2 linked regions of the Xenopus tropicalis genome follow. The protein of the gene in region 2 interacts with the protein of the main gene of each other region in a pairwise test. Links are inferred from orthologs where the notes say so. Each region holds a gene or a part of one and is shown on either strand. Other genes may lie near its edges.

Region 1 (4,484 bases), on a different chromosome or scaffold from region 2:
TTAGACAGTACAGTATGGGGGTACAGCTTATTGTGTGCCCAGAACATTCCTTCTCTGTGTATTTGTATTTATACATATGGGTAGGGGGTGCCATAGTGTTTCCCTTAGACAGTACAGTATGGGGGTACAGCTTATTGTGTGCCCAGAACATTCCTTCCCTGTATATTTGTATTTATACATATGGGTAGGGGGTGCCATAGTGTTTCCCTTAGACAGTACAGTATGGGGGTACAGCTTATTGTGTGCCCAGAACATTCCCTCTCTGTATATTTGTATTTATACATATGGGTAGGGGGTGCCATAGTGTTTCCCTTAGACAGTATGGGGGTACAGCTTATTGTGTGCCCAGAACATTCCCTCTCTGTATATTTGTATTTATACATATGGGTAGGAGGTGCCATAGTGTTTCCCTTAGACAGTACAGTATGGGGGTACAGCTTATTGTGTGCCCAGAACATTCCTTCTCTGTATATTTGTATTTATACATATGGGTAGGGGGTGCCATAGTGTTTCCCTTAGACAGTACAGTATGGGGGTACAGCTTATTGTGTGCCCAGAACATTCCTTCTCTGTATATTTGTATTTATACATATGGGTAGGGGGTGCCATAGTGTTTCCCTTAGACAGTACAGTATGGGGGTACAGCTTATTGTGTGCCCAGAACATTCCTTCTCTGTATATTTGTATTTATACATATGGGTAGGGGAGCCATAGTGTTTCCCTTAGACAGTACAGTATGGGGGTACAGCTTATTGTGTGCCCAGAACATTCCCTCTCTGTATATTTGTATTTATACATATGGGTAGGGGGTGCCATAGTGTTTCCCTTAGACAGTACAGTATGGGGGTACAGCTTATTGTGTGCCCAGAACATTCCCTCTCTGTATATTTGTATTTATACATATGGGAGGGAGGTGCCATAGTGTTTCCCTTAGACAGTACAGTATGGGGGTACAGCTTATTGTGTGCCCAGAACATTCCTTCTCTGTATATTTGTATTTATACATGTGGGTCAGACAGTCTGTAGGTTCTGGAGGCGGCTCACACAGTACCAGAGGCCGTGGGTGTGTTTGGGTGGGTAGGAATGCTCCGTGGATCAGACGCCTGACAGACTGGCTCTGCTGCCACGTGACTAGATATTATTATAGGATACGTGGTGCTTGGGGGTTAATGGGGCAACATGATAATGGATTGTCTGTTTTCCAGAATAAATCCAATTTTTCCACTTTAGCAGCTTTTATTGCCCGGCTTGGATACCACTATATATAGATTATTGCCCCCTGGGGGTGGGAGAGATTTGCCCCCTGTGCCCCAGTGTAACTGCTCTCCTCACACAGTATTTAGTATTATTGCCATTTCCACTCTTGGGGGGCTGCACTGCGCACCCCTCTCTATACTGTATATTCACTACATTCTTTGCAGATGATTTCAAGCCGGCGTCCATTGATACTTCCTGTGAGGGGAACCTGGAGGCGGGGAAAGGGGAACAGGTGACCATCACTCTGCCCAACATTGAGGTGAGTGTGACCAACTGGAAACTACAACTCCCAGAGTTCCCTGCCAGCCGTGGCACTAAATAACTTTATATTTGTCCTTTCAGGGTTCCACCACCCCAGTCACTGTGTTCAAAGGCTCCAAAAGGCCGTACCTAAGGGAATGTATCCTGATTGTGAATCACGACACCGGGGAGTGCCGGCTGGAGAAATTGAGCAGCAATATTAGTGTCAAAAAGACCAGGTACTGACACAAGCCCGATTCAGCAGGAACAGCCCCCTAAGTTTGCTCACAGCCTGTACAGAGAGATACCATAAAACTAATGCACATAGGGATTCCCCTGTACTAAGCACAATTCAGCAGGAACAGCCCCCTAAGTTTGCTCACAGCCTGTACAGAGAGATACCATAAAACTAATGCACATAGGGATTCCCCTGTACTAAGCACAATTCAGCAGGAACAGCCCCCTAAGTTTGCTCACAGCCTGTACAGAGAGATACCATAAAACTATGGCACATAGGGATTCCCCTGTACTAAGCACAATTCAGCAGGAACAGCCCCCTTAGTTTGCGCATAACCTGTACAGAGAGATACCATAAAACTATGGCACATAGGGATTCCCCTGTACTAAGCACAATTCAGCAGGAACAGCCCCCTAAGTTTGCTCATAGCCTGTACAGAGAGATACCATAAAACTATGGCACATAGGGATTCCCCTGTACTAAGCACAATTCAGCAGGAACTGTACTTAAAGGGAATATTTGCCCTCCTGCAGGGGTAGTACATAATGGCACTTTGTTATTCTCAGGGCTGAAGGAAGCAGCAAGATCCAGTCCCGCTTGGAGCAGCAACAGCAGCAAATGCGCAACGCCAGCAAAACACCCAACAGCGCCAAAAACTCTTCCTCGCCCATGGAGAAAATGTCTCCGGCATCCCCAATGGATGATATAGAGAGGGGTAAGTGGTACCGTAAGCTGACCATTCACCAGGGTCGCTGGCTGGGAGTTCAGGAGAAATGAGAGAACACATAGAGGGTTTGGCTGCACTCAATAGGCCATGTGGTGCTATGACCAGCAGGTGGCGCTATGCTATTTGGCTGCCAGTGACTTTTTCTATTCTCCCGCAGAACTGATGGCGGAAGCCAGCGTTATCGACCAAATGAGCAGTTCGGACAGTTCTTCGGAGTCCAAAAGCTCCTCCTCCAGCGACGACAGCTCCAGCGACTCTGAGGACGAGCGAAACAAGTCGTCCCACTCCAAGCAGCCGCTGCAGCGGCACAACTCGGGCTCCAGCGTAGAGAGCGTGCATAGGTCTCAGGACAACGGGGGGCAGATGATGAGTACTTTGCGTAAGTGCACTTACCCCCCCTCCTGTAGGACCTACTGTAACTGGCATCTAGAGAGCCATATCAAGGGCCAATACCTGCTAGATTGGTTTTCTGTTATTCAGCAGCTCTCCAATTTGGAATTTCAGCAGCTATCTGGTTGCTAGGGTCTTGTTTACCTTAGCAACCAAGCAGTGGTTTGAATGAGAGACTGGAATATGAATAGCGGAGGTGATGAATATAACAATAAGGAATAAAAAGTAACAATGATAAAACTGACGGCTCCAGGGCAATAGGTTTTGGCTGCCGGGGTCAGTGACCCCCATTTGAAAGCTGCAAAGAGACAGAAGAGGAAGGCAAATAAGTGAATAATAATAATAAACTGCAATGCTGCTAGGAATAGGGCATTCTATAACATACTAAAAGTTAACGTAAAGGGTTCAAACTGGTTGCTAGGGTCCAGTTTAACCTAGCAACCAGACAGTGGTTTGAAAGAGAGCCAGAAATATGAATAGAGGAGGGGCTGAATAGAAAGATAAGTAATAAAAAGTAACAATAACAATAAAACTGGAGCCTCACAGAGCAATAGGGTTTGGCTGCCGGGGTCAGTGACCCCCATTTGAAAGCTGGAGAGAGACAAAAAATTAAAAAAGGCGGATCATTAGGGGGTCTGTATGTTTTTAACATGGATTTTTGAATAACATTTGTAGATATGCCCTTTAATCGGATGCCCCGCCTCTGTGTTTGTGCATGACCACGCCTCCTTTTTGCACAGTTGCCCCTCCCATAGGGTGTTTATTAGCCTGTGCTCAGTCTCGGCGGGGGGGGGCAGATTATCAGTTTGCGGCAGTCTCTGGGCAAAGATAGCGACGCCTCCCCTGCCTTTCTTATGTATCTATAGGAGCAAAGGCTCCGCCCACAGCATCCAACTGTCACATTAGTCTGTGGGTTCTGGCAGGGTCCGTAAGTGTCGGCCAAATTACTGGTGCCGGCCAAAATGTTGTCTAGGGTAAATTGGACCCTAGCAACCAGCTGCTGAAAAACTAAAAAGCACCAAAGGCAGATTGTGTGCATCATACTATCCCCTATATGTAATAAAAGGCACTAAGTTTGCCCAGGAGCAGTAACCCATAGCAACCACTACTTTTAAACAGGTGACCAGTAAATGCTACCTGTTGACTGGTTGCTATGGGTTACTGGGCAAACTTAGTCCCTTTTATTACATAATCCCATAAAAGTTCATTTACAGTTGGTCACTTTATCGCTTTGGTCAGCCCTTCCCCCCCATTCTGACTCCGCCTCTCTTTCAGGCAATGACTTACAGCTCAGCGAGTCCGGGAGCGACAGCGACGACTGAGGATTGGCCGGTCGGATTGGGCGGCACAGAGTAGTGAGCCAGCGCCCCATTTGCACTAGAACTGATTCTTCTCCGTGACGGAGGGGACGGATTATCAGGTTTTTGATAAAAAAGACAAATGTATTTGATGAATACGTGGGTATCGCCGCCGCGTTGCCATGGCGCCCTGGTTCTGCCTCTTTATCAGTGAGCGAATAGCGAAATGTTTCTTTTTTTTCCCCTCCTCCCTCAGAATCCGGCAGAATCGGAGGTTTCGATGAATATTGTTATTTTAGTGGCGTTTAGATTAAGTTTCACTATTTAATTCTTC
Region 2 (6,051 bases):
CTGGCCGAATTGAATCAAAATCCTTAAAATCACGTGACTTTTTGTTACATAAACACAGAAGTTGAACATTTTTCACTTTCTCTTTAGTCCTTCCTTATCCTAATTCGGATTTGGTTCAGTATTCGGCCAAATCTTTCGCAAAGAATTCGCGGTTTCGCAAGACTCGGTGCATCCATAGAGGAAAGTGGAGTATCCAGAGGAAACCCACACAGACATGGGGAGAAAATACAAACTCCTTGTAGACAATTTAGATTGTAAGCTCTAAGGGGCAGGGACCTCCATCTTTGTGTTTCTTGGCCACTTCGCTCTGGGCAATCTTTAATGCAACTTTACTTTGTATTTATTACTATACTTTGTATTTATTTGTATCATTTATTGTTATGACCTACTGTTTGTTCTATCAATCTATTGGTCTGCTGTGCAGTGCTGCATACAAGTAGTGCTATATAAAGAAAAATATACATACATACAAGTGAGTTGCCTCACTTAGACCATTGTATAATCCATAGAAATGCGTCACAACGCTCAGAGAGCAGCCCAATGGTACCTGCTCTTTATGAAGGGGACTGAGAGAAGAAGGAGATGCACTGTTTTCCTGTGTCACGCTGGGTTGGAGGCGGTGCAATCCTTTGATAGGCCAATTACAAATGGAAACAATACTCCAGCCTATGGAAGGATTGTGCTGCCCCTGACCCAGCATGATGGACACAACTGCAGAGGATCCTTTTGCTGTGTTGGAGTGTCACTCAGGTAAGTACCGCTCAGCTTGAGGATTTTTCACTAGTTATATTTTTATGCTGAAACTTTTTAGTAATACTGACACTTTCATATGGATTTTCATAGGAATGTGTCAGTGCCCCTTTAACGACACAGCAAATGGAGATCATGAGCCAGATTATCTATTTTGAGCTACCAGTCTCTGGTGTAGATTCATTTATAAATTACTGGAACAATGTTTATATTAAAATTAATTTTCCAAAAGTGACACAAAGAGTAAATGGTAGAAACTTCTCTGGTATTTTCTAAGAATTTCTTGGGTATGTATGCAATGATGTGAAAGCACTTGGTGCACATTCCTTGAGCGGGTGGAAAAATGGTGACTTCCTGTATTAGCACCAACATTAGAAATATTAAACCTACAGTGTCTGCTAATGTTTAACTAAATGTTTCATTACTGCATAAGCAACAGAGTTAATCATTTACTTCTGTCAGCAATCAGAGCAGCTGCCCCTATATGAAAGAATGGTTTACAGTGTTAATTAAAATTGTGCTGTGTCTGTAACAACCTACATTAAACCAGGTAAACTGAGATTCAGAAGTTGTGTTACTGCATTTATGAGAGGTTTAAACAAAAGAATTGATTATAATTCAGTACATTAGCCAAGCTGGTAATGCTTCCTGAAAACTGCTGTTTTGCTACTATTCTGATCTGACTGATTTCAGTTCTATTGGCATCCATGGACTAGTGTGATTGCATGCATTCCCCCTTGTACTGTTGCACTAAATTTACACAATGATGCATATTGGGAAGAACAAACTTTCCACACACCCCTGTGGTGCAATCCAGCTCAATGCTAATAATATTCTGTATATATATATATATATATATATATATATATATATATATATATATATATATACTCAGAGATCATTCAAATCCTGATTGTGAATTCAATTTTTCAGTTGCCCAAAGAGGCCAAGCAGCCCCCCACCGGCCCAACAAATAGTGATAGTCTATGGAATCTGGTATTTGCCAGAATCCAAAGATTGCCAGCGGACCTGGTGCTGTCGGGTATCAAATCCATTCCTTACTTTTTTCCACAGTGAAATTGGACCCTGTCATCCCCTGAATATCAAAGGCCTATATACAATCTGGAATTTAAACCTAAGGTTATGCCTGTAAGTTGTAAAACAAATAAACACTTTATCTTGTGTATAGTTATTAAAGATACTGCCACAGGAGAATACAGTTTGAAATAATTACACATTTTGCATCAACCCTCTTGTCTGGCAGTTCAGCGAAGAATTACATCACTGCCAACAAGGAGCTACATGGTGATTATGATCTCAGTGGCTTGTGTTCTGTTCAACCTCAGCTTCTGTTATTAAGCAGTCAAAGTAATTGGTCTTTTATCTTTTCAGTTCATATCGTCATATTTTAAATGAAGTAAAGTTTATACTAGGCAGTGGTTTGAATGTGTGCATTAACAAAAAAAGAAACATAACTTGTTAAAGTATGGCCAAAAAAAAGGAAACATGCACACATGAAAACAAATGCAAAACTTAAAAAAAGAAATAATATTGCAACCAAATGCAAGAGTGAAGAAAGGCAGAATAAAAAAAACTTACAATAAAATATATATAAGAATAACTGCAAAATGAGTTGGATTACTAGTATATAAGGGTGTGTGTTTACTTGGATTAAATCTTTCACCTTCAAATGTATATTGGCCTTTTTATGAGCCTGGCCCAATTGTGTAAGCACATAAAAGGTATGTGTAGGAATATCAGTAAGTGGAATTGCCCTGGCACATGACACAGCCGCAGGAGCCTGTACAAAGCTGCTCTGACCTGCCCTGAACTCTGCAGGCTGCCCACCCCCAGCTTGTCACTGGCAGCAGTCAGGGAAGCACTAGCAGCAGACGGCAAATGGAGAGATCACTCTCCACTTCCATGTTCATGGCCTTCACCCTTCTGTCTGTTTCCTGAGAATACGTTGCAGCCTCCTGGAGCCAAGCTGCACAGACGCCACATTATTTACGTGTCAGAGAATAATAAAACACCTGCTATTATCTATTGCCCTTTACACACCTTAAAAATCCAGTAAGAATAATTCATGGATATACACCTGTTACTGAAAGGCGGAGGTGCCTAACATGTGACCCTCCAGTTATTGTTGAACTACAACTCTCAAAAATTGTCTAACTATAGGGCCACAGGTTGGACATTTTGAGAATATAATGTAGCATTCCCTCATCCTATGATAATCCCAAGTGAACCCATGTCCAAAATATACAAGCAGGTTCCCTGCAGCTTTTGTCCATTGCAGCCCTATTAATACATCTGCCACTGGCATTACTGATGTGCATATTTTCTAGTTGTTTGTCTCATATGCTCCTGACAACTGCCACTCTCCCCATCCTCCCCCCATGCCAATGATTACACTGTCACTGCCATGGGAAGGCATATTTAGCCACACTGCCAGTGCCACTATAAAGGGGCATCAGCCTTGTCTATTCTATAGCTCCTTACCTTGATTCACCAGTTTAAAGCTCTGGGATTTCCTGCTCCTCTTCCTCTCTGAGAACTCCATGCTTTCCTTTTTATTCTGGCAAGAGGTGCCTCTGATGGTGGCTTTTTGTTATTTTTGTTGTTGGCAGAAAGGAGGAGGAAGAGACTGAGGAGCAGAGGGAGAAAAAAAAGATCAGAGAGATTAAGACAGTGAAGAGGAAGGGGAGGGGGGAAATAAAAGAAAATGGGAAATCAAGCACTAGTCACACACAGGGAGGACCAAGGTCCGTCTCTTTAATCTGCAACACTGCTGCCTTTCAGCTCCAACTGCAGGGCTTGATGGCAAAGTTTTATTTTTCAGTTTCCAGGAGAGAGGTGCGGGAGGTTAAAATGCAAAGGATTCAGATTATAAATCCCTGGGTGGTAGCGAGAGCCAGGCATCACTTTCCCCCCACCCCCTGGTATCCAGATGTCCCTTAGGTAATGCATCCGAGGGGTCCCCAGAGCACCGGGAGCAGGAGACAGGGCCCTCTGAGTATGCGATCGCTCTTCTCCTTCCTCCTTTTTTATTGCTGTCAATGATAAACAGGGAAGAGAATTATTTGTGTAAAGGAGAACTCATGCCACCTGCTGGCAGTAGTTTAGTATTACAAGCAGGTAGAATGGAGCCGTGTGACCCTACACTGGCTGGCAAGCACAAAAAGAGAGCGTCTACAGTTTGTTATGCCTACAGTTACTACTTATGGGAGACACTCCAACAAAATCGATCGCTAGGAAAAAAAGTTTAGACGCTTCATAGGCCTTTCAGTATAGGTCAGATAAGATAATAAAAACCACACAAGTTACTAGGGTTGATACATTGTTTTCAAAATAGTGCATACACCTTATATCCCATATATCAACTATACAATACAAACTAATTACATTAAAAAAATATATATATATGTATATATATATATAAAAATTAACAAGCATCCCTCTCTTGCAGGTCTTTATGTCAAAACAAATGTGTTTGTTATTGAAAATCCAATGTTTCTGCCAATAAACTGACCTTCCTCAGGAAAAAGGAGAGTCTTGTCCCTGAGGAAGGTTACTCTATGTGACCAAAATGATTCAATAAAAACTTTTTTTATGTTAAGACCTGCAAGTGCGGTGTACTTTGTTAATTTGTTCACAATTCCTAACCAGCGCCCAGGCAATTGATTTGCATAGGTGTGCTCTTGTTTGTCTTTATATATATACACAAGAACAAAGAGGAGCACTATCCTTAACTGTAAGGCCAACTGTCCCAGGTGCAAGTTAAGAGAACTATAGAGAAAATTTTTGTAAATAAAACACACTCTTGTTTGAGGAGTTCCTGTGAGTGCGGTACATTTTCTCTTTATAGTTCTCTTTATGTATTGCATATAAAACATATTGATAAAGGTTCTAGACCAGAACCAAACCATTAATGTAAAGATGCTTTTTTGAATAAACTTTAGAAATAGAATACAACGGAGTGCGCATCAATTCTGCTGTTGTATGTATAAATATATATATATATATATATATAGTCTATAAAAAATCGGCACTCACCACATCATAGACATTCGCCGGGTGCTGACCAAAAAATACAAAGCACATATATAGAAAGCACTCACGACAGCAAGTCATCAGGATGACGATCCTGTTGGGATCAAAATGTGTAGATGCGGTGATTGAATAAACGGACTGTTTCTATATTTACTGCCGTGAGTGCTTTCTATATACATGCTTTATATATATATATATATATATATATATATATATATATATAGTAATATAATAAAGGGATTTTTAAAGCACAAAAAAGCCTGGAATGCTGGGAAATTTTTGTATGTTATTTTCCTTATGCAAGAGGTAACCACGCACAATAACTAATTGAAAGGTGGTAGTGCTGTTCTCAATTAGATATATATATCTTTTATATTCAAATGGTAAAAAAAGGTGCTCTTTATTTAATACTCTGAATTTAAATTGAATGCCACTATAAGTGAATAATATGTCAACATTAAAATAGTCCCATGCCGATTGCTATAAGTATATAAGAATATACTAGGCATTGCTACCTAAATAGCTGGCAGAAGGCGGACTCATTTCATACACCTTTTTCTAAAGACTTGAAAGTGTAAAAGATCAATTAAGTTTTTATGTATACAGCCTGCATAATGCAATTTTTTCCAAAGCAAAACAATCCAATCAATCTTCTTGACCATCTCAGTGATAAATAATTAATAAACTCCTTGTTTAACAATGACAGGTGAAGATGAACATAAAAGCAGCCAAGAACATGCAGCATTTAATTCAGTTCATAGCATAACCCGGCCACTACACCGGTCAGCCCTTCTGGTCCGCCTTTAGTGCTGATTCTCAAAACCTCAGAAATTAAAATAAAGAGATCACATCAACAATTTCATTTGTCAACCATGGCATATGCCTTGCTTTCACGCATATATTATTGATGAAACAGTTAAGGACTAAATACTTCAGAAATCTAACAACTTCTATGGCTTTTGCTAATATGTTGTTAAAAGATGTAACAGAATAACAAACATATACCAGAAAAATATCCCTTAGGTGACTATGGCTACGGCTATGGAAGCCATTTTGATAGAAATAACATTTTTGTTAAGCTCTTTTTCCTCGATGTTTCAGACCAGCTTCACATGCACAATTGGCCTTACCTTTAAACTGTTGTAAATATGAGGCATGCTTCTGAAAAATTGCATCCCGTGTTCTACAACTGCTTATTAATTTGTGCAATAAGAGTGCAAAATAATTTTGATTTATTTAAGAACCTTT

What was found. The genes of interacting proteins can lie anywhere in the genome.
Region 1: the proteins of bend7 (region 2) and eaf2 interact in binary tests that used the Homo sapiens proteins (3 or more experiments, as listed by UniProt). The two-hybrid records come from large-scale screens. The link is inferred for Xenopus tropicalis from reciprocal best matches to the Homo sapiens genes BEND7 and EAF2.

What each region holds. Positions count from the first base shown.
Region 1 is NC_030685.2:88,583,197-88,587,680, forward strand, and holds part of eaf2 (ELL-associated factor 2), read left to right. Parts: intron 1-1,421; coding exon 1,422-1,516; intron 1,517-1,599; coding exon 1,600-1,736; intron 1,737-2,301; coding exon 2,302-2,450; intron 2,451-2,619; coding exon 2,620-2,841; intron 2,842-4,127; coding exon 4,128-4,174; 3' UTR 4,175-4,395; exon of another isoform or gene 4,396-4,484. UniProt on the Homo sapiens protein: Acts as a transcriptional transactivator of TCEA1 elongation activity. Acts as a transcriptional transactivator of ELL and ELL2 elongation activities. Potent inducer of apoptosis in prostatic and non-prostatic cell lines.
Region 2 is NC_030679.2:81,727,448-81,733,498, reverse strand, and holds the start of bend7 (BEN domain-containing protein 7), read right to left. Parts: upstream 3,797-6,051; 5' UTR 3,314-3,796; coding exon 3,253-3,313; intron 1-3,252.